Kluyveromyces lactis: one gene and its partners. Each later gene encodes a partner of the first gene's protein in a complex. Links are inferred from orthologs where the notes say so. Each region holds a gene or a part of one and is shown on either strand. Other genes may lie near its edges. The genes, in order: MRP51, MRPS17, RSM24, NAM9, MRPS18, MRPS5 and MRP10.

Region 1 (4,389 bases):
TCTTTATCGTAGTAGATTGACAGAAGCGTAAAGGTATATTGGAAGAAGAAAGAAAGTAACTGGCCTCAACATTAGTTTGTGTACTTATAAGAAGCCTAAAAGTTGCTACCATCGTTCATATTTGGCACATTTTGTAAGAATTCCTCGAGAAAGAACTGTCAACCAAAAATGACTTATCCGGAAAGAAAAGCTTTTGTTTCTAGAATAACGAATGAAACCAAGATTCAAATTGCCATTTCATTGAATGGTGGACCAATTTCTATTGAGAACTCTATTTTACAAAGGGAGGAATCCGATGCTGCTAAGCAGGTAACTGGATCCCAAATCATTGATATTCAGACAGGCGTTGGGTTTTTAGATCACATGATTCATGCTCTTGCGAAGCATTCAGGCTGGTCTTTGATTGTTGAATGTATTGGAGATTTGCATATCGATGACCATCATACCACCGAGGATTGTGGTATTGCTCTTGGCCAAGCCTTTAAGGAAGCTTTGGGTCATGTTCGTGGTGTGAAAAGATTTGGTTCAGGATATGCACCATTAGACGAAGCTTTATCACGTGCTGTTGTGGATCTATCCAATAGACCATACGCAGTAATAGAGTTGGGGTTGAAGAGGGAAAAGATCGGTGACCTTTCATGCGAGATGATACCTCATTTCTTGGAGTCCTTTGCTGAAGCCGCGAGAATAACTTTGCACGTTGATTGTTTGAGAGGCTTTAACGACCATCACAGAAGTGAATCTGCATTCAAAGCACTTGCCATTGCAATCAAAGAGGCTATTTCAAGCAACGGAACCAACGACGTTCCTTCTACTAAGGGTGTTCTAATGTAAAATTCCTTTTCAAGAAAGGAGTGGACTCTCATTGCATATGCGCGACATTCATTTTAAGTTTACATCAAATATATATTCATCCATTTTGTTCCATTTAAGTTACGAGCACGGCCCTTAACCGCTTGACGCACAGCTCCGTCTTCCGCGTAACATGACTGTATTTATTACGTTTTATTTACAAGTGACTTCTAGCTATGGTTGTGTAATACCTACCATATATCAACTTACATGGTTGTCTTTAATAAGTTTAGGAACTCTTCACTTTGAGATCTAGATTCTTCGGCGGTGACAGATCTTACAGTTTTTCTTGAAGAGTTTCTGGAATCGGATCTGGTATAATGTGATCTGCTTTGACCTAAGCCGATCTTCTGAGCAAAACTGAAGTCATTTCTTGGTTCTACTAAAGATGCAGACAATGTTACATTACCCCCTTCTACCTTTGGATCTTCAATGGCAAATGGTAAAACTTCTTGTCTGACAAAATCACCCATGTTGTATTGTAGAGCACGAGGATTACGGCCCACAGATTTAGCTTCAGCGATGAAACCACCAACAGCGACTGCGCGATCAGGTCCCTGGACAGATAAAACTCTGCCTGGCACAACGTGCTTTTGTTTTACACCATTTGGAGATTGTCTAAGTCTACCTTTCAAGTTGTAAGTTAGACCACCGGTGCCCACAATGTGCCACTCCGAGTTAGCTGCTGTATTAATATTCAACTTTCCCATCTTTTCATGTAAGAATTCAGTAGCTAAAGCCTTCAAAGGTCTGGTGTTTTCATTTCTAACACCAGCAATGGAATCCGGGTGTTTCTCTAACAGCCACTTCTTGAATTCTGATCTGTGTTGGTCAATTTCTTTCAACTTTCTTGTCTTTTCAGAAGGCGCAGTGTTATGAGCAATGTTCACAGCATTGCTGAATGGCGCGTATTTTCCGGCCCTCTTGGTTTTCCCATTGAATAGAGGATTGGATTCTTCTTCAACGTAACGAGGGGCTAACCCCATTTCTTGGAATCTGATTCTGTTCCACTGGTATTGACCCATTGGTTCAAAAGTCGTTAGTCTTTGTTGGGTGTCCAAATCGTTGTAAACCAAATATCTGGTCTTGATTTTCGATGGAATGCTTGCCTTCAAACCCCATTCCTGACGATATAAGGAGGATGGCTTGGTCTCAATCACTTGATGAGTTGGATGAGAAGAGTTACCTGGACGAAACAATGGCTTGTCCGTCTTTGCCACTTGTGCTATCCTGGAATTTTTTAACAAATTAGATATATGGGACATAGCTTTCTATTTCGAATTGTGAATTCAGTAAGTATATCTGTCTTCAAGCTAAGGACTAACAGCCCAGTTTAAACCCAAAAAGTGAATTATCTATTCAACGAATTGCTGATAGTTTTGGAACCTTGTCACAATAGTCGACGATAGGAACTAATTTAGCTCTTCAGTCAAAATCAGTAGCTGAGCTGTGTTTAAGATTTATCGAATTGAATGCTATTCAATGATATCGAAATTTTTTTATCATTAGAAACGTAACATTTTACCCGGACTTGCGACAGACCATTGATGAAAGTGTCACATTTAGTACTCATTTTAAAGGAAGAATGGTTTCTTAAGTGATGCTAATATTTAAAACGAGATCAGCACCAGTATAACATAAGTCTTCTATGAGGGGTTTCCCATAATCAGAAATCGGTGTTGAGTTTAAATTTTTTTTTCAATTGCATTATTTATTATATTGTTTACTACAGAAAACTATTCATTTTTTCGTAATAATTTCATATCAACAGTTCCTTGGTTTAGTCGATACTGTATGAGAACCTCAGTTTCGTAGAAATGTTTGTACTACTTGACAAGGTTATCAGATAGTTTCGAGCACATGTCTCCGCTATCCAGAAGCTCAACAAAAACTGATTTTTTTCCAGTAACCTCATCAACACAGTAGATGTCACGATCGGTCTGAATGTCAATCTCAGGTGCTCTAATAAAAGGTTTCCAGTTCCCTGTGTAAGCTTTATGACCAAGGTAAAGTACGATGGTAATTGGAACAGCCATATAATTTTGAAGGAATGAGACGACATTCAGCCTACCGTTGGATTCTAAAGGAAACAATGATACCCAAAATTGTACTATCAAAATAATGGCACAAATAAACAACGAGATGTAACTGCCATATACACCACATGGTGATTGATATCCTAATTGGTCTAAAGCTTGATCTTGATCTTTCATTGCCTTTCTGAATCTCAAATGAGACACACAGGTCATACTCCAAGTAAAGATAGTGGAAAGACCGCTGATTGACAATAACCAAACGAAGACTGTTTCCTGGTCCTTATATTCGGCTATGAATGAAAATAAACCAGTAAATGCTGAAACGCAAAGACATCTAAACGGCTTACCACTTTCATCCAATTTACAAAAATATTTCATCGCAAATCCTTGTTCAGCTAAGGAATGTAATGTTCTTGAGCTACTATACATCGCATTGTTTGCGACAGAAATAATAGACAATAGAATAATTGCATTAACAATATGAGGTATTATCCTAACACCATTGGTTGTTAATGCGACCACATATGGAGATGCATGGGTCAGTTCTGATCCAGACCCCATCAAATATGGGGAATTAAAGGGCACTAATAATCCAATAATCATCAAAGAAACGCAAAAAATGATGGCAATTCGTACAACAACTTGTATTGACGCCCTTTTAATACTTCTTGGCATGTCTTCTGTATTCTGTTCAGCACAACTCAAGGCGACAAACTCGGTACCACCGGTACTAAAGCAGGCAGTTATCAACGTTGCAGCAATTGACTTGAAAAGCCCCTCATCGTTTCTAAAGAACCCTGGACTATGGAAATATTTGAAACCCAAATATCCGCTAGTGCCGACAACACCAGTGTTAACGAAAATACCTAAAATTATGAACCCAAGGATCATAAGCACTTTCAAACAGTTGAAAATGCAATCAGCGTCCGCATAACACCTTGCACCAAAGAAATTCACCCCGCATACCAAGGAATAACATAATGCAACAACGATAGAAGGATTGATATTTTCGTTCCAAAAGTTGATAGTCATAGAAGCGACACATATTTCTAATGGCAAAACGACAGTCCAATTTAGAAAAAATAACCAAGAAATGGTAAAGCCCACAGACGGGTCTATGAAACGCTTTCCATAAGATGTAAACCCACCAGGCATACTTGGAAAAGCAACAACAAGCTCACCAACAGTTTGCATGCAACATGTCAACATAATACCAATAATTAAGTAACCAACTAAAGTACCACCAACCCCCGCAATAGCAATTGATCTACCGTTCCCCACTAATAAACCGGTCCCAATACCTGTTGCAGTAGACATCATGAAAACATGAAACGGTTTAATTGACTGTTTTAACTCATTTTTGGGAAGAGTAACATCAGCTGTAGTATCGATACTGTTCGTTCTTGTGGGATCTGAGAGGTTGGAAAAAGTTGCAACTTCTTTTAAACATTCTTCAGTCATTTTTTAATAATTGACTGTTCAGCGAATTAGTGCTGTGATT
Region 2 (4,050 bases), on another chromosome or scaffold:
CCGGTTTGGCAGTAGGACTCAGTATCTTTTTAACTGCATTGTTCTTAGTGAACAATCTGGTATACCCTATCAATGAACACCTTCTGCTAAAGCCTGATTCACTATTCAAGTTTGATTTGAACAGAATCTCGTTGTACCCGTTGGCTCATCTCTCATTTTTCCATTTGTTCTTCAATGTCATCTCGACTTTCTCTATGATTGTGATGTTCGAGGAATCCCATGGAACTCTTTACACTGGTGTCATATTGAATCTATTAGCCGTATTTACTGCAATCCCATACTGTTTAATCGGTTCTTTGCTATTCCCCAATGTCGAGATCGGTGGTGCAAGTGGTTGGTTCTTCTCTTTCTTGGGATACTTTGCTGTGAAAGAATCCCGAGTTCGTAACTCAGTGATGATCACCAGTACTTTTTCATTCCCAACATTATACTTCCCAGTAGCATTACTATTCGTTACTGCTCTATTGGCGCCTGGTTCTAGTCTACCAGGTCATGCAATTGGGTTACTATTAGGATACTTCATGGGGTTGAAAGAGAATTGGGTAGCCAAGATTACTCCACCAAGCTTTGTATTGAAGAAAATTGAAACATGGGTCGATCCATTGATCAATCTGATCCCATTCGGTATTAAGTACTATAGGGAAGTTGAAGTGGACAGATCACTTGAATATACTTCCGTTTACCTGGGGTCAGAATCCAGATTGCCCTTGCATAATACGGATACTCCAGCGGAGCCCACATTTCAAGGAAACGGAAGAGTCTTGGGAAATTGAAATGTGAATCCTCAGAAATTAGATACTAGAGATTTAAATCATCTGCTGTTCTTCTTCTTTTTCTTCAAACCCAACTTTTGAAATATTGATAATTATATTTACATGCGTGTTACTTCGATGCGGCGGGGAGAATTATATTCATTCTATATACATAGGGAAACATCCTTTTTAATTATTTTCTGTCATTCCTCTTTTTCTCTCATACGTTGAGTTCCTCGAGTATGTGCTTTCTCAAGATGTTCTTCTTGATATTCTTCTTCAACAGTTGAGGATTCTCCAAACCTTTCGATAGTAAAAATTCATTAGCCAAGGATTCGTTCTTGGTATACTCTGCCAATTTTTCTGTAATAGCATCGATCTTCTGCTGCTGTTGTTTCACTTGGGTTTCAATCTTGAGAATATCCAACTGTAATATTTGCTTCAAGGATTCCGGACTAAACTTATCAATTCCGTAACGGCTCTTAATCTCTTTAACTGCGGCAGAATCCTCGGTACCATCTGTATAAGCCTTCTGTAATACACGAACATCATTCAAAAGTGTCGATTCCACACCCTGTTTACGTTCTCTCCTTTCTAAAAAGGCCTTAGTCTTCTCGTTTTCCTCGCTGGCAACGTTGATCTTGGCCTGTTCTTGGAATAAAGCAAATTGTTGACCTTTATTTCTGATAATTTCAGCAACGGAAAAAAACTTTCTCTTGGACAAAGGTCTCGTAGCTTCAATACGTACTAAATCCCCTTCACGAGAAACCTCAGATTCATCATGAACCAAATAATCCTTCCTATGGAACAACTCTTTGTTGATTCTCTTATCGAAAACTTTGGTCTCAACACGAACTTTCACAGTCTTCTGCATCTTCCCTTGGGAGATGACCATCCCAATAAAATTTTGACGAGCCATGGTTGAAGGTGGGCTAATTTATTCTTGGATAGTGGTATCGACGAACCAATTGACACAGAGCTAACTAGACTGCTCTATTGTTCTTTTAACAGCATCGACCTAACCGTTCATGGCCTCAAGGCTTTAAAATTTTTTGATGTTGGAAAGATCACCACCGTTTCTAATGATAGATCACGTGATTTAGTTCTTCACCAAGAATATGGAGGTATGAGGTTAGTCTTGGGTTTTATAGAACTAAACTACTTCTTAGCACACTTGGCCCAGTTTGAAACGTCCGTGGGTAGATTAGAATGTTATAAGGCAATGTGGGACGCTAAATGTCCCTTTTTCATGTTCCTGTTGCTCTTGAGAATGGCAAACGGCTTAACATTCTGGCCATAAAAATTAAAGGATTGGTCTGTTTTAGAATCTTCACATGACCTTAAATATCGAAACTAACCGAGAGAAGGGGTTTGAAGGGGTCTACGATACCAGAAAGACCAATCAAAACACTGCGATATACATTTAAATTACAGAGGATTTCTATTTCAAAGATTTTTCAAGGAAAACTAGCCATTAATCATGGATTATCGAAATAGTAAAAGGTCCAGTATCTCATTTGGAAGCTATCAAAGGCAACTGAACCTGTTAGACAATGTAGGGAACAACGGAGTTAATTTCTACCAGCGACCAAACCAAGGCCATTCTCAACAGTTACAACATGGGCAGCAACAGCAGCAACAGCAACAGTTGGGACTGGGGAGTGGGAATAGTAACTATACATTGGACAAGCTAAAAACGGTAACGACATGTCAGTACCAGTCCAGCGCTCCACTTTTCGCGCTTTCTTGGAATCAGAACGATCAATGTGCCCTGGGGACATATAAGGAAGATTCCTACAATAGAATAGAGATCATCAACGGATCGAACGATTATTCTACATGGGAATGTACCAACGTTGCTAACGTGGTTTATCCTATATCCAGGATCCAATGGATGCCTCAAAACAATACAAGACTAGCAACATGCTCGGATTCCCTAAGGATATGGTCGTTGGATGGCAGTTTACAGGAACAGATCAACCTTTCTTTATACAAATACGGGAAACACCCTAGTTCTGCGTCTCAAAAGGATACTGTCACGTTGGGCCAACTCCCACCCGTCACATCGTTCCATTGGAGTCCCATCTCCCCTAACCTACTATTATCGTGTAGCATCGACACGACGTGTACCGTATGGGATCTTTCGAACTCTACCAACTACGTAAAGACGCAATTGATTGCACATGATAGCGAAGTGTTCGACGTGAAATTCTTGGCACAATCGACGCAGTTGTTTGCCAGCTGCGGTGGTGATGGATCCGTCAGAGTGTTTGACCTCAGATCACTGGCACACAGTACCATCGTGTACGATCACGGGAACGAGACTTCACGCGGCTCCAGCGGTGGTGGAGCAGCAGCAGCAGATGGTCCAAACAAAAACGCAACCACGAAAGTTACTGCAAATACTGGCAGTACCGCTGGCAGTGCCAGCGGTACTGCCAACACTTCCGCATCAGGTACATCAGGTACCTCGGGCACTAGCACACTCATACCACATGGCAATTCCCAGGATACAGTAGACCAAATGGACCCAGAACCACACTCCAACGCGTTGGTGCGCCTCGAACCAAATCCTTTCGATCCAAACGTCATCGTCACCGTCGCACAGGACAGTAACGCCATCATCGTACTAGACATGAGATACCCTGGAACCCCATTGCTTACCCTCGAGGGCCACATTGGACCTGTTAACCAAGTACAATGGCATCCAAAGAAATCCGGAGTCCTTGTCTCCTGTGGAGACGATTGCCAAGTTCTGTACTGGGATACAAGCGCTCTACTGGGGCAAACCTCGTCCAACACCGCGAGATGGAACAACCAAAACGTCGTACATACTGTAGACACACCACAGATGGCATACACCACGGAAACCGAGGCAAACAACCTGGTCCTCAACCCTTCTGGTACCCATGTAGGTACCGTTAACGGTAAGACCTTCACGGCGATCAACTTGAACACGTGATACGTAAATAATGCTCAGCGTTTTATATAGTACTTTAGTGTAATGAATGAAATCACGTGACATCCTCCCCGATTTCTGACTCTGCTCGACACGTTTTCTGACTTGAAAAGCGCACTTGACCCGAAGATCAGACCCTTCGCCAAGTCAAAACCACAGGATAAAGGCCATCGGCAGCCGAATCGATGAGATATGGTTATCTAAGAACTTGAACGAGGTTTTGCACATGTATTAAAGGTCATTCGTTGATCTTAGTTAACCTTCTGCTCACCACAATTGTATAAACTTGTATATTCTGATACTTTATCGTTCTGTACTTTCCCATATTCTGCTTTGCAT
Region 3 (4,346 bases), on another chromosome or scaffold:
CTATATCCTTGAATACGCTATCTCTTGGAATACGCTTCATGACTTCCGGTTTGTCAAACAAAGGACCAATCTTGCTTATCCATCTTTGTCTCTTATCCAACAAAGATTTTAGACTCGAGTTAGCGGCTTGTTGGTGAGCTGCCTGAATAGCTGCCTGAGATGTTGATCCGGTTGCTAATGAATCCGGCCCAGGTGTATATTGCCTCTTTTTCTTATTTTTCGGCGCACGAATACGTTTGATATATGCTTGGTCAACTTGCTTATCAAGATTGTCCAATATGGTACAGTACTCTTGCCATGCGAGCATCCTCTCCAATAACGGTAGAAGCATTGCCTTTCTTTTGGTATTCTTAGTAGTCACTTGACGTAGTGTACTCTGCAGCTCTCTTAGTTCAGCACTAATCTCATCATCTTCCCTTCCGGTCAACCAATCCGGGTCTTCACGTGTTTTTCCTTCTTCTCTCGGTAGATTCATATATATACCAACATACTTTAATTCCCTTTTCAAGCGTTCCTCAAAAGAAACATAATCAATATTGGAATTGTTTGCAATCGCTCCATGTTGTTTGAATATCCCGTATGACGAGGAGGATGATGGGGTAACATGTTCAAGCTCACTTACTGGTGTTGATACTGATGAATCGAGTGTGGGGTTTGTCGGTAATTCTTCCTTAGGAGCTATAATATCATCATCCTTCAGTATAGCACTCAAAAGCCTTGAGACTAGCGGGCCACAAGACACTTCTTCATTGTCAAGTACACCATCCGAAATGTCATTCCCTGATTTCTTAGGCAAGATACTAATAGGATCACTGATAGGTGGAGGAGTCAGATTCGCAATGTTTTGATTATTGTCTTCTTTCAACCACACGTCTGTGTATAGTGGTCCTAATTTAGGAATTGTGTATGGAGTCACTTCGGGGTCATAAGATTTCACAAACTGCAAATTTTGTGGCATGATGAATTTGTTTTGAAGGAATTTGATATCGTCATCATTGAATTCTCTGTAAAAGGCCTCGATGGATGAGAGAAAAGTATTAAACTGAATTTGGTTTGTGGGTTTAGGTTTCGAGAAATCCATATCAGGCAGCTCACCGGGTAGAAGTTCCTTTAAGTCATTTGTAGGATAGCTTACTACCCCGTATTTCTTTTTCAAATATTCCTCACCAGTAGCTTCAAGACCCTCCTCTTGAAACAAACCTAATCTCATTGCAGCAGCAGGTAACGTTTGAGATACTACAAATTCAGACTTGGGGTTTCTAATGTTAGGATCATTTTCCATTTTATCAATATCTAGCTTTGCTTTCTTTGATATGTGACCATCTGATGATAAAACTTCCGCTTCTTCAATAGTATCTTGTGGCCTTTTGTCTGTCTCCTCGTTCTCTTCTGTAATTGATCTTTTATCCGATACGACTTCGCTAGATTCATCAAGTTTTTTATTAATTGAATCATTTTCTGCGTTCTGGGCTGCAAGGTTTGTTGCAGCTTCTGCTTCCTCCTTCTCTTTTTGTTTCTCATCTTCGAGCCTTATTATATCTTCCCGCATTTCCTTGATTAGGTCTAAATTCTCTTGATCACTAGCTGCAATTTTCTCCAAACATTTTCCTAGATTTTCTAGTTGATCTTTAGTTGTTTGCAAAACCGGTTTCTCAGGAACCGACCTCACGTATTTACCGTTCAGTAAACCTATGTCATTCTCAAAAGTCAAGTCTAAAGACTTCAGCATCGAATTTAGAATATTCGACGGTTCATGTAGCCCAGCGTCATCTCTTTTCTGCTCTCTTATTCCTTTGCCTCTTCGCGTATTCCTTGACATAATATACCAGTGGTGTTTTACTGAGTGAAGATCTGGTTTAGCAATCTACTTGATTCCACCTTTGTCCACTGTTGACTATCGTTAAAAGATAGGCTGCTTTCCAGCTTTGGCAATATTAATGACTTTGTTCTGTTTGTTGCTTCGTTGTTTATCTTCCGTTACTTTGACAGATATTTTCATAGAAAATTTATTATCACGTGACCTCCGCCTTTTCTCTGCAAAAAATTTTCCAAGTTTACCAGAAATACCAATAATCCTCGATACAACACCAATCGGAACCAGAGAAAGCCAATTATATTCAAAGTGTTAAAAGGTCTGCGATAACGTAATCATCTTAGGCACTCAACAATGATTACTGGTGCTAGCGTGCAACGTACTGCATTCTTTTGTAGTAGACGTTTAAACTCCACCGTTACGAAAGAAGTTGCGACCATTTCCTCAACACTTTACAAGGATCCATCGAAATGGATCGGTTTGGATAGTAAAGATATCATAACGTTGCACAATGAAAGAAAGGCAAGACTAGGGCCCCTATATAAGCCTTGCGAAGAAGAGTTGAAAGCATTGTTACCCACTGCCGAAGCGTCTGGAATTCCAGCAAAACTTTTCAAAGAGTACTATCATAAGACACCTGAAGAAGTTGAGGCAGAAATGGGCATTGCAAGAGGTCTAGACGAGCATGTCAACTTGGATCAATATCAGTTTGATGATTTGCCATCACAATCACAAATTTTAGTTCATCAACATCGTGAACAACGTTTCTACAATCGTTTGGCAGCATTTGAACTTCCTTTACTTGCGCAGTATCGTCAAGAATATAAACGCCCTTCAACAAAGACTCATCCAGTAGCTTATCGTTATACAACATATCTTGGTGAAGAACATCCAAATTCTCGTAAGGTTGTCTTATCTGTGAAGACATCGGATCTCGGCTTGGAACAGAGGGAACTGCATAAGCTGCGTCTATTGGCAAAAACACGTTATGATTCTACTACAGATACTTTGAGAATGTCTTCTGATCGCTATGAAGAACCAGCTCAAAATGCAAAGTACTTAAACAGCATTCTTCTAGAATTACTCAAGGAGGCTAAAGATTTGAAAGACGACTTTGCTGATGTTCCTCTCGATAAAAGACATATCATCGCAAGACAATTGCGTAAGAAAAAGCGTGGGTACGAGTTCCCAGAAGAGTGGAAACGTCCACAAGATGCTCCAAGGAAAACAGTGGATCTTGTTGAGCTATTACACAAACAGCTTTGATCAACCTTTTAAAACACACAAAAACAACTGTAAATAGCCATATACGCACAAATTAATGACCAATTTAATTGTATAGCAACAGCCATCTATTCGTTAAAGGGTGAAAAGACAAACCTTACATATCTAAGATGATAGCTACTTCAACTGTAGATTTAGTTGATCAGCAATGCTAAATGAGATTCTTTCAAACTTGTCACCGAGTAATTCAAAGAAGTAAACTGACGGCGGAATATTTGAAGAAATTTGGCACTGCATAGATGCATTGTAGATAAGTTATACGTTGACTTGACATTAAAATATACCACTCATTATTTTGGCATAGTATTTGAACAACGTGTGTACGAAAATAAGGTCCATGTACTGAATTGCACGTAAGTGTTTTACAAATTAAAGGATCAAAGATTAATTTCAATTGGGAAAGAATAAAAATAAGTGAAGTGATATGAAAAATTTGAAACAATACCACAAAGAAAATCTTCAATTACTCCACAATGCTTCCTATAGCAGCTTGTGCTGTGAAGATCATCCCATACAGATTAAATGTATTATTCTTATATTTCTTGTATATTATTACACATTGTTACAACTATTTTTACAAAGAAAGAAAGAGTGTCATCATATATATGTATGAAGCATTATATAAATCCCAGCTCGTTAGTCCTTAGATTTGTCTTTTCCCTTATCCTTCTTCTTTTTCTTCTTTTTCTTTTCACTGGAAGCATCTTCATCATATGGTCTTTTTTCAATATGGGGCAAGCCGAAATCTTCGGCAGATTGCAAGTAATCAGGAAGTGGAACAGGGGCAGAATTTGGACCTTCATTTAATGTTAAGGTACCATTTTTCTTAGCTTCCAAGTATTTTTGTTTTTCCCTTTGATAATTTTCTAGTTCTGCGTTGTACGCTTGTTTCCATTTGTCTTTCTCAGAGTCTCCTAAGTCTTTCCACTTCTTTGAAATTTCTTGAGTGATTTCAGTCGAAGACAATGGTGGGAGACCAGCTCTTTGTCTTTCATCACGCAAAGCTTGACGAACATACGCAGAATATGCAAAGAAGACGGTAAGCGGTTTCTTTGGAGCATAAGGATCACGTGGAATCTTCTTCTTGACAACCTTTGCAGCTGCGTCAGTGGTGGGAATTTCCTTCTCATCTTCAATAGGGTTTGTTAGCTCAGTACTAATGGAATTCAATTGATTCGTAGAAGAAGTTAACTTCTGTAACGCCTCTGTCAAAATAGTAAAGGCCTCGATTCTTTCTTCTTCATCATCG
Region 4 (4,950 bases), on another chromosome or scaffold:
GCATAGTTCAGGCGCCGGAGCTCCTCCACCTCCACCTCCACCTCCTCCGGCTTCCGTATTCGAAGTCAATGAACAATCAAAAGAACAAGAATCTGGTGGAATCGGTGCTGTGTTTGCTGAGTTAAACCAAGGTGAAAACATCACTAAATCCTTAAAGAAAGTAGAAAAGTCTCAGCAAACACATAAGAACCCAGAACTTCGTGCCTCAGGGAAGGTTTCTGACAAAGCTGTTCCTCCACCTAAACCAAAGAAACCATCTACTCTGAAGACTAAGAAGCCTCCAAGAAAGGAATTGATCGGTAATAAATGGTTTATTGAAAATTATGAAGATGAAGCCGAACCGTTAGTGATCGAAACTAAAATTGACGAATCTGTTTTCATCGGTAAATGTGTCAACACATTGGTACAAATCAAAGGTAAGGTCAACGCAGTTACTGTCAATGAAACAGAAAAATGCAGTTTAGTGCTAGATTCTTCCATCAGTGGTGTGGATATTATTAAATGTTTGAGATTTGGTATTCAAGTGGAAAACACCCTGCCACAAATCACCATCGACGCGTCTGATAGCGGCTCCATTTATTTGAGTAAAAACTCTTTACAGGCTCAAATTTTCACCTCTTCTAGCACTGGTATTAACATCAACACTCCAACTGGTCCCGATGGTGACTTCGTTGAAGTTCCACTTCCAGAACAGATGATACACACTTTCGTCGAAGGTAAACTACAAACCAAGATTTACGAACATGCTGGTTGAATATCTGAATAGTATATCTTCTCGTTACTGGGTGTTAGTTTATTCTTTACTCATTAGAACATATAAATATATATATATAATTAATATAATATGATACGATAAAATAATGATAATAATATGTACAAGGTTTCCAAGATACACCATTCTTTTTAAATTGTCATAGTCACAGTGTATCCATTCTTTCGTGTGTATTTGTTTTCGTCAACTTATTTACCCCTTCTCACATAGTACATGTATGAACGTTCATGTACAGGTAAGCCGAATGGAGTAATAACTTCAGATTGACCTGGACGTGCAACAGGGTCTCTTAAGTAGACCGCATGACATGTCTTGAATGATATTTCCAAATGGTGTGGTAGAATGGCGAATGGTGCTAAGAAGGGTCTTGGTTTCCACGGAGTGAAATATGGTTTAGATGGATCGTTACGACCAAACACACCCTTTTGCCATGGTAAATTGATAGCTTTTTGAGCAGCTGGTTCGTTTTCCAATAGTTCAGGAACATTGATCTTTTGATGCAATGGTAACTTTTCAGCCCACTTAGCATCGTATGGAATATCAACAGAATCAACGGATGCCATCTTGTCATTATAATGTTCTCTGACCACGGTTTCATAGAAATGTCTCAAATCAACTATAGTATGATTGATGGCTCTGAATTTTTTCTTTAAGGCATCGTTTGTGTTATCAACAGGTTTAGTTATTCCTGTAGCCACCTTTAGCAATTCACCTTGTTCATTAGGAATTTCAGCCAAAGGCTTCCCTGCTATCGTTTCCACAGCCTTGGCAGACTTGACTTCTCTATAAATTTCGAATCCTTTAGCTGCCAAATTTTCGTTATTGTAAAATTCGCCCAAGAAATCTTTTACTGCCAATTTTTCTACATCGTTAACGCGGTTAACGGTAGAAAAGATCTTAGCTAACAAATACTCGTTACTGGTTTGGTCTAATTCTTTCCTCATTTGAATGTGCATGGTTTTGTTGTAGTTTTCGAGGAAGGATAAAAATTCCTGTTTCTTTGGATCGTTACTATCCATAGTTCTTAGTTTTTCGATCTTTTCATCCCAGAACTTTCTAGGATTCTTTCTAGCCTCTAGAATATATTTGTTCCATAGGAAAATTTGGGTATTATCCACTTTCAAAGCTTCCTTCAAGCTAGGTTTCTTGGCACCAAGAGCTTGTAGCACTTTTTCGGGTCTGACGTTGAAAACATCACCAGCTTTCAAGGCATATCCCGGAGAAGTAATCTTTACACCATTCACATGGACGTTGCCATGTAAAATAAACTGACGAGCTTGTCTCACTGACGAGGCAAACATAGCTCTAAACAAAGCAAAGTCTAGCCTTTTCTCTAGTACAGCGTATGTTTGTAATAGAATGGGCGTCGGTTCGATATCACCACCCCTTAGAGAAGCATCTAATTGAGCCACAGAGTTTAGCTGAGGCTCGAAAACAGACTGCCACCTACTCTCTGTTAAATGTTCGCCATGGTAGGCACGAGTTTCCTGTTTAGAAGTCCATTTCTGTTGGTATAGTGTTTTCGATCTAAAACTGACCTGAGATTTCTTATACAAGTTGAACAAATTGTACTTGTTAAAAGAGGTACGAACCTTCCCTCTGGACAAAGAGTTCAGAAGTACAGCTTTCCTAGGCATTGCTGGTCTTTTTCTTCACAATGTATTGACAAAACTAACCAGAATTGACTGCTTACGGACTCTTCGAAATGGAAATACATTGCATATCCGAACTACCTGCATAATATTTTTCAATCAAACGCTATCTAATGCTTGAAGCTTTCCGATATTGAAAAATTTTTAGAGGAATTTCGTGACATATGATATCAAATATTAGCATTCATAGTTTAGAAAGATGAGAAACACCATAGAACCATATTGAGATGGACTGGCGAAGATGGTATCAAGCCTCATACGATCTGCTTTATCAGCGATCTTGATAGGAACTTTATTATATCAATTGCAAGAACGTTCTTTTGGTGTATAAGGTTGTGATACTTCAGATAAAAGTAATACGATACGGTTCACTGCGATGTCCGCTGTAAAGATAGAATCACCTAGAGGGCAAACATGGAGTAAAGTGGAGGAAATAAGGCTGTTTAAATGGATGATGCTGTTCAAACCTGCAGGAATACATAAACACTTCCATATGGTGTGTTTGCTTGAGCGATTGAACAAGCCAGATCAGTATCCAATCAAACTTTTGCAAAGCGATAAAGGCAGCTCAGATAAAGTGTTTTCTGGGGAGGACGTTTGGGAACAATTGAGTCGGTACTATAATTTAGAGAAGGCAGATGAAGTAGAGAACCAGCCATACCCTGAATTTTATAATGATGACGGACCAACCGAAACTACAAACAAAAAGACAGAAGGGGACGCTCAACTAGATAATGATGATGACAGTGACAATGATGTTGACAATTGTGACGAGCTTAAGAGAAATATAATACCATTACAAAATAGACTCCAGCAAGAGACGGAATTTGAACTATCGTGGGAAGATTATGGAGAACTTATGTTAGAACATGCTAGGGATCATGAGGTGGAAGATATTAAGCAAGAGGAGACCGCTTCTGCGGATGACAAGGCAAAACTGAAGGGTGCGGAATCACAGGATACGCAAGTAGAACAAGAGTCAGAAGAGCCACGGGAACGAGAAAAGGATATCGATGAAAAGGATACTGAGCAAAATAATGTACAGGCGAAACAAGAAATGGCGACCACTCCGCCAGTCAGTGTTGGAGAATCTGTGAGCGAACTGGCGAATGAACCTGTCGATGAACCTGTCGATGCTCATAAGAAACCAAGGACAAGACGCTCTACAAGGTTGACACGTTCACAAAAGCGAGGCATTGATGACGAAAGTGAAAACAAAGAAGACCAACCCCATGGCGGAAACACCGATGAAAAGGAAGATGTCGAACACGATACAGAAGGGAGATCTGGTAGCGAAAAAGAATCGACTGCTGATGCCGCAGATACTACAGCTACAAAACAAGTCACATTTGCTGATGAATCTGAAGGTGCTGCCAAGGAATCAGCTAATTCGCCGACAGGGAAAGCAGAAGAGAACGAAACGGAATCATCTCAACAGCCGCGCCCTAAGAAACAAAAAGTTGCCGCTGCGGAGGAAGTTCCTGAAGATCTTGCCGACGTGGATTCTCCAGCTAGGAGAACAAGAAGAAAATCCATAACAAAACCAACTACAAGGCTCTCGAGCAGGCTTAGAAGCAGGAAGTAGTTGTTCTTGATTGTTTTTTCAATAATGCAATAACAACATAATATAGCTAATGGTTTATATTATAGGCATTTCGTTGATGTACAAAAATTGAATGTTAAAATGGAAGCATACAAACACTACGGCTACAATTTGATAGCAATTCCCATGTTGAAAGGTTGATGAGAAGGTACGGAAAGATGTAAAGCTATAATAATAATAATGGATGGGACCAATTGGAAGGAATCAAGGGAGAAACCAAAGAAAAAATGTGAAGGAAATTAATAGTATGTGTTTTATTCAGAAGAATGACATTATACATCTAGTTAATCTTCAACAATTCAACATCAAAGACTAAAGTAGCATTTGGTGGGATCAAACCTGGGAAACCACGTGGACCATAAGCGTATGGGCCTGGGATAGTTAGTCTTGCCTTTTCACCAACGGACAACTTTGGAATAGCAGCATCCCAACCCTTGATAACTTGACCTACACCAATGTTACATTGGAATGGAGAACCTCTATCAACGGAAGAATCAAACTTTTGACCGTTTTCCAAAGTACCAGTGTAATGGATTGTTACCAAATCGCCTGGTTTTGGGAAGTTGGTACTGTCACCTGGTGATAATCTTAGAATTTGAACGTTACCTTCAATTGTTTCGGACATTGTTTCTGCTGTTTGATGTGTGATAGCTGAGTTATTTTAAAACTGCAATACAATAACGGATTAAACTGACACAAAATAGCACTCAATTGGCCTCGTAATTGCAACAGTTTCGTGTAGAATGTAGGAATCCTTATTATAGAAATGAAAACTTTTTGTTTTCTGAACGATAATGATTTCTAGAAGCAGTGGTAACGTATTTAATGACTTCAAGACTTTCAGCATTTGTCACGTGACTGCATTCTTTCTTTCTTACTTAAGCAATCACTTTTCGCGGAAACATGCCTGTAAGAGGTTTGAG
Region 5 (4,026 bases), on another chromosome or scaffold:
TATCTTGAACAGATGTAACTAATCGATGGTTGGTTCGATTCTAACTTTTTCGCTGATCCAAAATCACAAATCTTCAATATACCCGTTTGTGGATCAACCAAGACGTTTGAAGGTTTTATGTCTCTATGGCATATTCCTAGTGCATGTAGGTAAAGCATACCTCTAGCAATTTGGTAGGCGTATAGTTTAACGTGCTTCAACGGTAACTCCAAGTTATTCTTCTTATATCGTAAAATTTCGTTTTGTAGCATTTCGGGCAAGCATTCCATCGCCAAATGTTGGTATAATTTATGATCTGTTGGTGAGATATGAGTGTAGAAATATTCCAATTTGACAACATTTGGATGGTCCGCAATTCGTAAAATCTCTAACTCTCTAGATTTATACTCAGTCTGAGCAGGAACCTTCTTAATGGCAAAAGGACCCAACCACTTCTGATTATCCGGTGTTAGGTAAGCTTGCACCACCGTGCCAAATGCACCTTGCCCAATTCGCTTATATTCCTTTACGAGCATTTCTCGCTTGACATTGGATTTATTACTGATGACATCATGAGCCACGTATTCATCTAATCTTTGCATAGACATGGCGAATCGCAATAAGGGGAAAGAAGACAGATAGTAACAGATACAAAAGCGATGCGATATCTATCGAATAAGAAAAAAATTACCACTTTTTGTTCGTTGTATTTCGCTCAAGTCTTCAAATTACAAACTTCAACCGTTATTTTGCAAGCAAACCTTAGAATATAGATATGTTCCTAACGGATGTAACGTGGATGGTTCAGGAAAAAAAGGGAAATATTGAATTGTAATGAATCAATAAAATCTGTATTAAATGAATTGATGAAATGAAATCGCTAATATTAATAAAAGCAACACAACAGGGGGAAAACACTCTTACTCAAGCAAGTCAATTAGTCCCTTGCAACAAGTGATGCAGCAGTGTCTATAATGTTTCTTCGCAGTAAATTCTTCGCGCTGCAATCGCTCGGCAAATTCAACAACTAGAAGTTCCCAGAACTTAAACGTTTGAGCACCCTTAGCAGTGTTGTGTCCGTTATCAGAGACCCTATTTGTTACTTTGAAACAAGGTTCTGGTTTATTTTTTGTTTGTTTTTTCCTAATTTCCTAAAACTAAAATTGATTTTCATATTCGGTTTTCCAAGAATCTGATATCAATATGACTGACTGACTACTGACTGAGTTACACAATTATTGATAAAAGCGATATAAAAGACGTTCTAATTGAGGGAACGTTCCAAACAAAATTTAATTCTAAGATCTCCCAGAGCCAGCTTTTATGAAGTTCGACTCTGAGAGTACTACACTCTCTCTAGATATGAATGCACAAACGAAGTTAAATTGGCATTTATAGCATTAATGAGGAATTACTCAGGTTCAGGTCCTATATCCTCCACCTGAACTTTCTCTTGATTGTAGCATCAAGTTGTAGAAATGGTTTGGGGAATGCGAGGTGATCTTCGCCAGTCTGCATATAATATTTCTATCAAATGTTTACCCCATCGCATCTCGGCACTCTTTATCAACGTGATATCTTCCGCCAGTGGACTGCAGGCACTTCACATTAAAGGCTAATCCTTATACACCGGGTAATGACAAGTTAGTCACGTGTTAATGCAACACCGGGTAATGGTTTATGAGCATATCTTGAAAATGAATTGGGAAAACAGAAGATATTTAGAGTTTGCATTTCATAGAGGAATACTATTCGTCTGAGTATGGAGACCTGCATTCGAGAAAGACACAGGTTGTGGTTAATATAAATCGGCGTCGAAAATACACCACGATGCTGAGAACATTAGTGAGACTGTTCAGCTCAACGGCCAGGACAAACCAAGATGTGGCTTCCATCTTATTTTCATCTGTCAAAGGATCAGAAAAGGCTCCAGTGATGGAAGACACCAATGTTGTCCAACCTAATACTCTTCGTGGTAGCAATAAGAAAGGGAGAGTCGATGAAGCAGTGATAAAATATATATTGAACTGCAGATTCACTAAGAACAATACACATTTCACATACAGTGCCGTAATGGAGGATAGAAACTTTTTGGCGAACAATCCACAATTATCCTACAACGAAAAATATCTATACTATTTGAAACTCCCACAACAGGTCAAATTTCATTTATCTACTGGTCATTTAGGGTTCCGTAAAGCTGCCCGTGGTGAATATGAAGCCTCATTCCAAACAGCAACTAAGTTATTTGAAACTCTTTATCAGAAGAAGCTACTGGATAAGAATATAGAAATTGTTATGAGAGACTTCGGTAAGGGAAGAGATGCTTTCATCAGTGCATTGAACGGTAAGGAAGGAAACCTCATCAGACGTCACATATCTAGAGTAGCCGATGCTACTGAATTGAAATTCGGTGGTGTGAAGGCCCCAAGACCAAGAAGATTGTGATTCGGTCTCTCACCATTTCATCTTTCACTAATAGTCTCTGTGTATAGACATGAATTTGGAAAATAATTCGGTATAATAACAAATAATGCATGTATATAAATTTAACGTAACGCACCAGAATTTTCGTTTAAATACATTAAGACAGCAATTCGAAGTATGATTTCACACAATTATGACATTGCTCATGCCTTATAATCTCTGGATGCTAATTTCATCGAAGATTTAAAATTTTCCGGAAAGTAGCGGGACTGTTTTGTGGATGCACGGATTTGGCTTTAGATTTTTTGTAAAAATTGTTAGGTATTTTAGTATTCCATTTTAGGTAATTAAAATTTCAATTGGAGGTTCTAAAAAAAGGAAAGGCAGAGGAGGCGTTCCGGCTGCCAGGTTCTCACCGTTCTCCTTCTGTCGCTCCGTTCGAGTCTAGTCTTCCCAGCGAGAGGACTCTGATTCTGCCCACTCTCCCCTCTACTCGCACTGACATTCTGAGGTGCGTAGGCAGGAACTGCTGTCCATCCAGCCTATCATCCATTCCTTCCCTGAGCCTGGAGCCATATCCTGTACCTGCAAATCACAGTGCGATTGTGCTACCTGGCCAGGGATACCCTGTTCGTGCTGAATATTCCTTTCGACTACGGACAGTTTCGCTTGCGACCTTGTATCTGTATTGTTTCATCAAAAGTAATATTGAACGTTTTAAAGAATATTTCAATATCATTCGGTATTAGAGTACACTTGATTAGCATTCAAAGAGGCCGCACACAACCAAGACACAAAAATGGCTCCATCTAGTATGTTACTGAGATGCGCAACTGAAAGCTACATGCTGATAATGGTGGGATAACGACTTACCGCGGGCTGAACAAGTGAGAATGAAGATATTACCTTGAGAGTGTAATTACACACCTGTGGGAGCAAACGAATGGTAGAATAAGTACGCTAATGAGAAACCAACAATACGATCTGAATAATTGTACATGATATTACCTATGTGTGAACCTGTCATGAAAGCGGATGAACATCAAATGAAACGATGAACACAAACACGCTGCAATGAGAACATAAAGTACGAGTTATCAGCCTTTTAAATGATGGTTAAACAACTACTATTTCGATTAGATCCTTAAATTGGAATACTTTATCATGATACGTCGAAAAGTTACGATGCGTAGTTATACGGTTCATCGGTGTTTATGAGTTAAGTTTTTTGAAAACATGTTAAAAGGCCCACTCGACGCTTTCCCTGTACCGTTCAGAGCATAAAATACACCTTACATTTAATACACTTAAAGTCAATTCTCTAGTTTTACAGAAGAAAATCATGCCGTTATCGAACTAGTTATCCTTCAATCAACATTTAAATCCAGTTTTACTAACAAAATTTCCTATTATTATTTTTTCCACAGCTAAGGCTACTGCTGCTAAGAAGGCTGTTGTTAAGGGTACCAATGGTAAGAAGGCTTTGAAGGTCAGAACCTCTGCTTCCTTCAGATTGCCAAAGACCTTGAAGTTGGCTAGATCTCCAAAGTACGCTACCAAGGCTGTCCCACACTACAACAGATTGGACTCTTACAAAGTCATCGAACAACCAATCACTTC
Region 6 (4,387 bases), on another chromosome or scaffold:
GATGGGATCGAGATAGAAATTCCTGAGAATATCAATATGTGTTTCTTTATCACATGAACTTCTTGGCATGTTTTAGCTTTTGCCTCTTTATTTCATCCTGTGACATAGCGGAACCACGACCACGTCTTAGTGCAATGATAAGGAAGATAGATGAAAGCAGAGATAACCCATACCAAGTAATTAAATATTGTAAATGATTATTCTTCAAATCAATCTTTGGTGCTTTACCAATAGGCACTCCCGCTTTAACGAATTGGAACTCGTTAAATTCCAATCCTGTCTCCGAATCTGCTGTATTTACTTTCTTCGTGTTGACGTGTGGTTTCTCGGATTCTTCTTGTTGTGGTTCTGTTTCGGTTTTCTTTTTAGACCAGAATTTCCAAGATGATTGGTTTTTGTTATCGATACCCTCAGATTTTGATTCTTCATCCCAATGGTGATCTTTCAGATCGTAAAGAGCTTGGTAATGAATAGGAGAAGTATGTGTCATCTCTGTCATATCCTTAATATCCAAGACTTGCCACAATCTACTCTCCCTGTCTTCCTTCTTCCATTGCATTGATGTCAAATCTTTAGCTGCACGCACTAACACTGTAATTGTCACGTTATCGCCTTGAGGTAAAGACAAATGTTGCAAGTTACGAGATGATGGAACGATTTTCTCCTCCGAGATCCAACCACGTTCAATCAAAATTCTTTCTCCCGTATCCTTTCTGATGAAAGGCGTATATAAAACGTACCCCTTGATCCCTCCTCTAACACGGGGGCCGACAAAAATCTCTTCATCATGCAAGAATCTACCGGTCATAGTACACTTGCGGTATTCCCAGTCTTCGCACATATCCGGTGTAAACGTTTTAGGTAACGGAATAGGATCGTAGGTTAATTTGTCTTCGCAGGAAGCAATTAGATTGGTTTTCCATTTCAATCTTCTTAATTGCCAGGTTCCTAAGTAGAACGAGATCACGGGCATGGCAATCATCAGTCCTAGAAAAATACGCTTACCCCATCGTGATTCCTTCTTTTGAAATCCTTCAGTAGGTGTCTTCTTTGTTTTGATAGGTTTCCAGTCAACAGTCGATGTCCTGACCGTGCTATAAAGTCGTCTTACCGGCCTTACCTTTGGTACAGTGAATGGCCTAGCCACAATGAAGCGAAACATATGCTTTGCTAATTGTGTGATACTAGTAGCTTCCGCTAAGAATTGAAATGCGTTTGAACAATTAGTAACAGCAAAGAAGTTAAAGCTTTTCTAATCATGTTTATACGCGATTAGATATACTACTCATCTGCTTTCATCATCTTCATTTTCCAATCTTTTAAAGATCAGAAAAGTGTGAAATATTCTAAAAGTCACGTGAAGAAGAATTTGGAACTCCGACGTTGTGGGGATATTAATATGTACAAGGTTACGTAGATCTGAGTATTGATTGTTTTATGAGAATGATCATCTAGGTCGTAATTGAATCATGTGAAGGTTGTTCAGATAGTTTCTTCATAGGAGAAAAAGTGAAAGTAATTTAAATATGGAGTTGGTTGAAATCAAGCAGAGTAATATACCTTCTTGACATCCACAATTTTCTTACCTCTACCTAGAGCAATTTCATCTATAGATTTTTGAGACTTGGTGATAGCGTCTATAGTACCCTTGGCTATGTTCATGATATTTCTACTCTTGTAAACTTTTGCACTTAAATCTTTGATACCAGCACATTCACAAATTTCATAAATTACGTGATTGACTCTTAGACCGAAACCTGGCTTAGCAGCTCTCAAGAATAGTTTCACACCGTGGTATCTATAGTCTATGTCTTCAAAAATAGTTCTTTTTTCAAATCTAGGCACTTCTTTTAAGTTCCTCACTGCATCCCAATGAGCTTTCTTGATGGATTCTGCCATATCTTCACGGGATTTACCCTCACCGATTCCTACCATACCATTCTTATCACCAACAACCACAAGAGAATAGAAGGATGGAATTTTACCTTTTGCAGTTTGATTAGAAACCATCTTTAAGATCAATGGTTTCATCACTAGTTTTCTGGCGATATGTTGAGCATCGAACCCCGTCTGTAGTTGGATATTATTGGCAATGTTTTGTATATCTGATCTGCCTTCAGTTTGTAAGTATGAACCCACAGGAGGAGTCAAATCTGGATGCTTTTCCATCTCTTGAACGAATACCGAAGATGAGCTTGAATGTAGATGTGGAGAGTTTGGTTTATAATCCCAATAAGGATGTAATGTGGCAAAGTTATCCAAATATGGTGGTGAGAATTCAACATTTGTCTGTGGTTTGAACTCTACATTGTCAGGAATTACTTTATCAGCTAAGGAAATAGACTTGAGTAGTTCTGGAGAGTAGTATTTCTTCAACAGGTCTTGTTGAAATACACGAGCAGTGCTCGAGAAACAACGGACGAACATTCTCAAATACGATCAGGGTTATTGAGAAAGACGCTGCAACTCACTATGTTGAATTTTGCTCCTCGACCTGTCTAAACCTGCTTCAAAAGACTTCTGGTGTCAATTATATTAGACCTTATTCTGGTGTATATGTCTGAGTATGTTGCCATTCTGTATTAACTATTGAAATTTTTTTAATTTTTGAAAATCGATCAATCGTTACAAATGAGAGAGCATTATTCTTGATCATGTGATTAGAAATTCACAATTCTTAGCTGAAGATCCACCCACTAAGGTATGGTAAGATTAGCAGTGGTTGCACATCTTTAAAATCTTCTTCAGACGTTCAAAGGAGGATACATGGAGTATGTTTCAGGTATGTTCCACGCATCTTTACCCTTACATGGTAGATGACACTATCATATGGAATGCTATCCGGGTAACATGTTTTTTTGTTTCATTTCTGAGTCTGTTTCATCCAATATTGAGCTCTGTCGCTTAAACAACGACTTACCTGCTTTAATAAAGCCGGTCACTAAAACATCTATATTAGTGGTTTAGTATCGCTATATACAATTTCCAGAGAAGATCTTTTTTCAAAACACTACATATTCTTCTGATACATAGTGGAGCAACATGTTTCAGCTGGCAATGTTATACACGGGCTTTGTTGTCATTAGAATCAATATTAGTACCATATCCTTTCAGTACCTTAAAGATGAAACATTCATATCACGAAGACTCTTCTTTTAGGTATATATTTTACTATGTTTTAAAACCCATTTAGAAAGATTCTTTATCTACAGGAAATAATGAACTAAATACAAATAGTATTTAGTTATGCAGGAACATGAAGACCAATAGAATAAAGATGATCTGGTGTCTTGCCCTGCATGAAGAGAGAGTAATCCCAAAATGCCTGAATTTTTGAAAAACTGCAGATGTTTTCTTTCTCAATTTTGGTCCGAGAATAAATTCATATGAGACATACCAATCCTGTTGGTTCTCTTTCCAAATGAAATCAACTCCACTTATCTGACAAGATTACCATATAAGTTACTCGTTAATTTATATAAAAATATTGGAACGAAATACTCGTTCACATGGATGGAGGTAGAATCTGAAATCAATTCGGAAGAAGTTATGTTTTCTGGAACCAATCCCTAGTGGCAATGCGACATCAATAGTGATTTACTTGTGCGTCATGTGAAAATTCCATGCCGCAGGTAGATTGACAAACTAATGCATTTACTAACGCTACCCAGCAGTGATATACATATGGTAAGAAAGGAAACCACCTGGCCTTGCAAGTTTTCTTTTCCTCTTATTTTTCCTGCCAATACGTGCAGTAGCATTCTCTTAATATTTTCTCTAATGCAGCGTTTTCGTTCTCTGACAAGAAGTAATGGTTCTAGCCAGATCTTCTTCCTCGCATGAAAAATAAAATGCTCGACAGATACCAGAAATGACCGTTCCGATTCCAGAACGTTACACATTCCTCTTCTCCGTCACTTTAAACTTTCATTGTTACCCGAATATTATTATCTAGGTATTTTTTTCAGTGTTATCTGCCGGATTTGAGAAGTACTTGTTGCGAATATACTTTTTGTAATGACAAACAGACGTTGAACAAAGCTGTCTGCTCTTCGCTGTTTAAATTTTATCAATGCGAAAGCATACTCATGATTGATCTGGGATCGTAGTTTGGTTGATTGGTCAAAATTGTAAATTCTACTGTACCCATAAACTATCATATAGTGTGTCGGGTAGCAATTCACGGTGTCAGATTTTTAGGATGAGACTTGGGAGAACACAATTGCTATCAAATCCTTTAACAGTCCTCCTGACCTCCTTTTTATAAACATTCAATGTGTGCTGCACATGTTAATATGCGTTACGCTCAACAATCAAGTAAAGTCAAGAAGTTTATTTTTTGCCAGGCGGAAATGTTCAGCCGCTCCTCGTGCATAAAACGGTTAGC
Region 7 (3,721 bases), on another chromosome or scaffold:
ATAGACCAGTTGACGAAATACCTCAAGACGTTGAAAAGATCGTTGATGAGGTAAGGAAAACAGATTTGCCAGACCAACTACAACAAGCTAACAATGTAAATAATTAAGATAATATAGATAATACACCTATAAATGTAGCTGATGGTGAATACATAAAGTCACGAGCGGTATCATTCGGATGGTAAACGGAATGGTTTTGTTTTGTACCTCTTTTCAATCTTCTTGGCTTATGTGATGAAAATCGTTCAAAGGCAATTCGAGGTTTTATAAACCTTCTTGACACAACTACAATATACTTTGATTCAATTTACCGTAAATGCAGAAGTCTAGGACTTCGCTAAAGATCAGATAGTGTGAACCGATAATACAGATACGTTTTCTGCAATGTTGCAAGACGTTGCCCTGAACTGTTACAACATCGTTCAGTCGTATTTATCGATCGATGCCGAATCTGCCGTAGCCACAACCGGAGATGTAATAAAACAGACTCAAGAATCGATACAGCTGAGTAGACGGTACCTTCTGCAGGATATATTCACTAGATGGGATCCGTTCAATGGCGAGATATCATTTTCATACAACGGTGGCAAGGATTGTCAAGTGTTGCTAATCATATATCTGGGATGTCTATGGGAATTTTTCCTCATGTCAATACAGGGATCACAGTACGATCTCCAGTTCCACATGTTCCCGTTGCAGCAACTACCCACTGTATACATTGATCAAGAGGATACCTTTCTTACGGCACAAGATTTCTTACAACGGAGCGTGGAGCGATATCACTTATCGTTATACGAATCAGCGAAGGATAAACAGGTCGATATGCCAAGTGCCTTCAAGTCGTTCTTATCGGTACATCCAGAGACTCAGGCAATAGTAATCGGCATTAGACACACAGATCCATTTGGGGAGACGTTGCAACCAATTCAAAAGACGGACCCCAGTTGGCCCCAGTTCTACAGGTTGCAACCGTTGCTACATTGGAATCTCTCACAGATATGGAGTTTCCTATTGTATTCGGGAGAAGAAGTATGCGGATTATATGAGATGGGATTCACTTCATTGGGCAGTGTAAACAACACATTGAGAAATCCATACCTACGGATACCAGAACCTATAGGCTCCATGACAAAGGCCGAGACTGAACATAGCGATTTCCAATGGGAAATTGAAAACAATTACAGAGGAGATTCTAACATGCATTGTAACGAAATTAACGAGAATGACCTTAATACCATCAAACAGCATGATTCATCTGAGTTCCATCCGGGATGGTATCTAACGAAAGACGAGTGGGAAAGAGCTGGCAGACTCGCCAGAAAAGTTTGAGATGAATCCACTCACAAATAGCTACAAAAATCTCTATCATATTTAATAAATCGTGAATTCCTTGATTTTAGATGATATATGTAATATTAGAAAATGGTATTATGTACAAGTGATAACGAAGGGGGAGAAAGTCTGTCTGCTTCTTTCTAATCATGAGATTTTCCACCAACTCTATCGTACAATCTAGCAGCATGATAGTTGATATTACTCTTCTGGACTTTTTGGTTCTTACCTAAGGCATTTTCCGCGGTACATGCCTTCAAATCTTGGGCCAATGTCTCACATGCACCGTACATGTGTCCGTTAGAAGACCAGCATTGTAATAGATTGGACATCAATACCAAGCATCTGTTAGCCTCTTGTTGAATAATTGGCTTTTTCACCTTAAGTCTGGGAAGAGGTGGTAATTTATAAAGAGGAGTCTTACTGGACATGCTTTAATATATGAACACTTGATATCTTGGACGTACCCTTCGCAACACGACCTTACAAGACCTCTAGAACGGACTACGCGACTACATTTATGATATTTTCCATCATATAAACGATATCATTCTTTATGATCTTAACAAAATTTTTGAGACTTTCGCCAATGTTGGATCTAAGTATGCGGTGTACGGGTTAAATTTTTCACTTGGGCCTGCCCTGGAAATGATGAGCTGCCGCGACAGAGGGAGAGAGAGCATATGGGTATAAAATAAGAGCTATAGACTATACTGTTGCTTAATTGGCAAGTACGTATACCGCTGATGTTCAGTATTTGGAAAGATCAGGCATGCTTAGGATTTCACGATCCTTGTTCTTACTGAACTCTTGCAATTGTTTTAGAATATTGGAGTTCTTCCATCTGTCAGGAAGAGGTGTAATGGAATAGTTTTCTGTGGCCCAGTAGTAGATATCCCAATCTAGTTCGTTCAACAACTGGTCGTACTCTTCTAGTTGTTCTGGGGTCATTTCCTTTAAATACTTAGCAGCAAAACGTGACAAAAGTAAGTCTGTTTCCAGAATACCTCTCTTTCTGGACTGATAAATTAATCTAGCACGCTTCTTGTCTAGAGACTCGCCGGTTCTCTTGATAGGTGGGATTCTGATTCTCACCGTGACATCGTCATCTTGGCCCTCAGCACCGTTGCTGTTGCCCTTGTTCAACAAGTAAGCATTTGCGTGAAGAGAACGGCATTGCTTTGTAATCGAGTTAACTCCAGATTTCAACACTGATGGTTTGTTGAAGACAGTTCTTAGCATTATTAGATGACAGTGGTCGTTTGTTGACTGGACAGGTAGGGATAGTATAGAGGAGGGTATACTAGATATATGTAATACAAATTAGGACCTCTTCCTAACCTGGGGTAACGGAGGAGAGAGATCAACCAATTCAAATTGTGATTCAATTAATATTATATATAGCAAGACGGGTAAAAAGGTGCCGTAATCGGTTCGGTCACGTGTACATGGACCTAGAACTCCACAGCTTTGCAACGTCGCTATAGGAGGAGACCTTATACTTGGCTCACACTGGGTAAGGTCAGTGAGAGACAGGTAGCCTTTGTGACAGGTGTGTCTAGTACGCTGGGAAGATTACTTCACCAGTTAGGCACGTGATCTGTTCATCGTCGACGTTGTAAGCTCTAGCAATGACAGAGTATTTGCCAGGTGGCACCTCGCTAGGGATCTCCACGATCTTGTTCAACTCGTAGACACCTTCCTCGATTGGACATTTCAATCCGTCGATGTCGTTCTCCTCCAATTGTTCACACAAATCGTAGGTTTGTGAGATTAACTTGATGTAACCTAATCTAACTTCGATGTCGATGTATGCACCTTCTTCGATAGTGGTTTGTAGGACACCTGCAGCAGCTATAGTCAAATTCTCACCTCTTTGTGGTGGGTTGGGGACCAAGTTTACTTGAGTAACATCAAGCGATTGAGATTGGTCAACATCACATTGCAATAAAGGAGAGTCACCAGGGATCGGTTTGTTCGCTGATGGTGGTTCTGGGAAACTTAATCCGAATAAAGAAGCTGCATTAGCGTACGATGCAGCAGCGCATAATAAGTAACTGGTTACAACAGAAAAACGCATCTTGGTGGTTCAATCAGGGTGTTTTAGAGATAAGGGGAGTTTGCTTTAGCTTTTCTTTTTTTTGTTTATGAAGGTTTCAGGACTTGATATAATAACGAGAGGCCTTAGTGAGTCCTTGTAGATATCTTAAAGATCTTGAATTGGTCTATGAGCAGGTATATAACTTGTAAAGGCTGAACTGTTGCTCTTGCTTTATCTTTCTTTCCCTTTCCTTTTTGTTGTTTCCCATGCGTGATGTAAACAAAATGTTTCGAATTCCAACAAACCTTTAAAATTGTGACTTTCTCATCTCGAAGTCTCAGATAAGGT

The links.
Region 2: MRP51 (region 1) and MRPS17 share a complex: the UniProt entries of both Saccharomyces cerevisiae proteins name them as parts of the mitochondrial small ribosomal subunit. The link is inferred for Kluyveromyces lactis from reciprocal best matches to the Saccharomyces cerevisiae genes MRP51 and MRPS17.
Region 3: MRP51 (region 1) and RSM24 share a complex: the UniProt entries of both Saccharomyces cerevisiae proteins name them as parts of the mitochondrial small ribosomal subunit. The link is inferred for Kluyveromyces lactis from reciprocal best matches to the Saccharomyces cerevisiae genes MRP51 and RSM24.
Region 4: MRP51 (region 1) and NAM9 share a complex: the UniProt entries of both Saccharomyces cerevisiae proteins name them as parts of the mitochondrial small ribosomal subunit. The link is inferred for Kluyveromyces lactis from reciprocal best matches to the Saccharomyces cerevisiae genes MRP51 and NAM9.
Region 5: MRP51 (region 1) and MRPS18 share a complex: the UniProt entries of both Saccharomyces cerevisiae proteins name them as parts of the mitochondrial small ribosomal subunit. The link is inferred for Kluyveromyces lactis from reciprocal best matches to the Saccharomyces cerevisiae genes MRP51 and MRPS18.
Region 6: MRP51 (region 1) and MRPS5 share a complex: the UniProt entries of both Saccharomyces cerevisiae proteins name them as parts of the mitochondrial small ribosomal subunit. The link is inferred for Kluyveromyces lactis from reciprocal best matches to the Saccharomyces cerevisiae genes MRP51 and MRPS5.
Region 7: MRP51 (region 1) and MRP10 share a complex: the UniProt entries of both Saccharomyces cerevisiae proteins name them as parts of the mitochondrial small ribosomal subunit. The link is inferred for Kluyveromyces lactis from reciprocal best matches to the Saccharomyces cerevisiae genes MRP51 and MRP10.

The regions. Positions count from the first base shown.
Region 1 is NC_006042.1:88,094-92,482, forward strand, and holds MRP51 (mitochondrial 37S ribosomal protein bS1m), read right to left. Parts: upstream 2,118-4,389; coding exon 1,059-2,117; downstream 1-1,058. Other genes in the region: imidazoleglycerol-phosphate dehydratase HIS3, read left to right, coding at 169-834; KLLA0_F01012g (uncharacterized protein), read right to left, coding at 2,679-4,349. UniProt on the Saccharomyces cerevisiae protein: Component of the mitochondrial ribosome (mitoribosome), a dedicated translation machinery responsible for the synthesis of mitochondrial genome-encoded proteins, including at least some of the essential transmembrane subunits of the mitochondrial respiratory chain.
Region 2 is NC_006040.1:1,090,092-1,094,141, reverse strand, and holds MRPS17 (mitochondrial 37S ribosomal protein uS17m), read right to left. Parts: upstream 1,672-4,050; coding exon 973-1,671; downstream 1-972. Other genes in the region: putative rhomboid protease RBD2, read left to right, coding at 1-773; KLLA0_D12760g (uncharacterized protein), read left to right, coding at 2,233-3,714. UniProt on the Saccharomyces cerevisiae protein: Component of the mitochondrial ribosome (mitoribosome), a dedicated translation machinery responsible for the synthesis of mitochondrial genome-encoded proteins, including at least some of the essential transmembrane subunits of the mitochondrial respiratory chain.
Region 3 is NC_006040.1:1,522,223-1,526,568, reverse strand, and holds RSM24 (mitochondrial 37S ribosomal protein mS35), read left to right. Parts: upstream 1-2,167; coding exon 2,168-3,079; downstream 3,080-4,346. Other genes in the region: histone acetyltransferase NGG1, read right to left, coding at 1-1,819; HMO1 (Hmo1p), read right to left, coding at 3,734-4,346. UniProt on the Saccharomyces cerevisiae protein: Component of the mitochondrial ribosome (mitoribosome), a dedicated translation machinery responsible for the synthesis of mitochondrial genome-encoded proteins, including at least some of the essential transmembrane subunits of the mitochondrial respiratory chain.
Region 4 is NC_006037.1:1,006,160-1,011,109, forward strand, and holds NAM9 (mitochondrial 37S ribosomal protein uS4m), read right to left. Parts: upstream 2,410-4,950; coding exon 961-2,409; downstream 1-960. Other genes in the region: SRV2 (adenylate cyclase-binding protein), read left to right, coding at 1-754; EAF7 (Eaf7p), read left to right, coding at 2,801-4,009; peptidylprolyl isomerase FPR1, read right to left, coding at 4,308-4,652. UniProt on the Saccharomyces cerevisiae protein: Component of the mitochondrial ribosome (mitoribosome), a dedicated translation machinery responsible for the synthesis of mitochondrial genome-encoded proteins, including at least some of the essential transmembrane subunits of the mitochondrial respiratory chain.
Region 5 is NC_006041.1:673,201-677,226, forward strand, and holds MRPS18 (mitochondrial 37S ribosomal protein YmS18), read left to right. Parts: upstream 1-1,809; coding exon 1,810-2,427; downstream 2,428-4,026. Other genes in the region: serine/threonine/tyrosine protein kinase MCK1, read right to left, coding at 1-587; RPL25 (60S ribosomal protein uL23), read left to right, coding at 3,206-3,218, 3,834-4,026. UniProt on the Saccharomyces cerevisiae protein: Component of the mitochondrial ribosome (mitoribosome), a dedicated translation machinery responsible for the synthesis of mitochondrial genome-encoded proteins, including at least some of the essential transmembrane subunits of the mitochondrial respiratory chain.
Region 6 is NC_006038.1:1,001,266-1,005,652, forward strand, and holds MRPS5 (mitochondrial 37S ribosomal protein uS5m), read right to left. Parts: upstream 2,428-4,387; coding exon 1,543-2,427; downstream 1-1,542. Other genes in the region: cytochrome oxidase assembly protein SHY1, read right to left, coding at 50-1,162. UniProt on the Saccharomyces cerevisiae protein: Component of the mitochondrial ribosome (mitoribosome), a dedicated translation machinery responsible for the synthesis of mitochondrial genome-encoded proteins, including at least some of the essential transmembrane subunits of the mitochondrial respiratory chain.
Region 7 is NC_006041.1:1,177,492-1,181,212, reverse strand, and holds MRP10 (mitochondrial 37S ribosomal protein mS37), read right to left. Parts: upstream 1,764-3,721; coding exon 1,476-1,763; downstream 1-1,475. Other genes in the region: MTF2 (Mtf2p), read left to right, coding at 1-54; FAD1 (FMN adenylyltransferase), read left to right, coding at 385-1,329; succinate dehydrogenase assembly factor SDH5, read right to left, coding at 2,083-2,574; NPC2 (sterol transporter), read right to left, coding at 2,891-3,412. UniProt on the Saccharomyces cerevisiae protein: Component of the mitochondrial ribosome (mitoribosome), a dedicated translation machinery responsible for the synthesis of mitochondrial genome-encoded proteins, including at least some of the essential transmembrane subunits of the mitochondrial respiratory chain.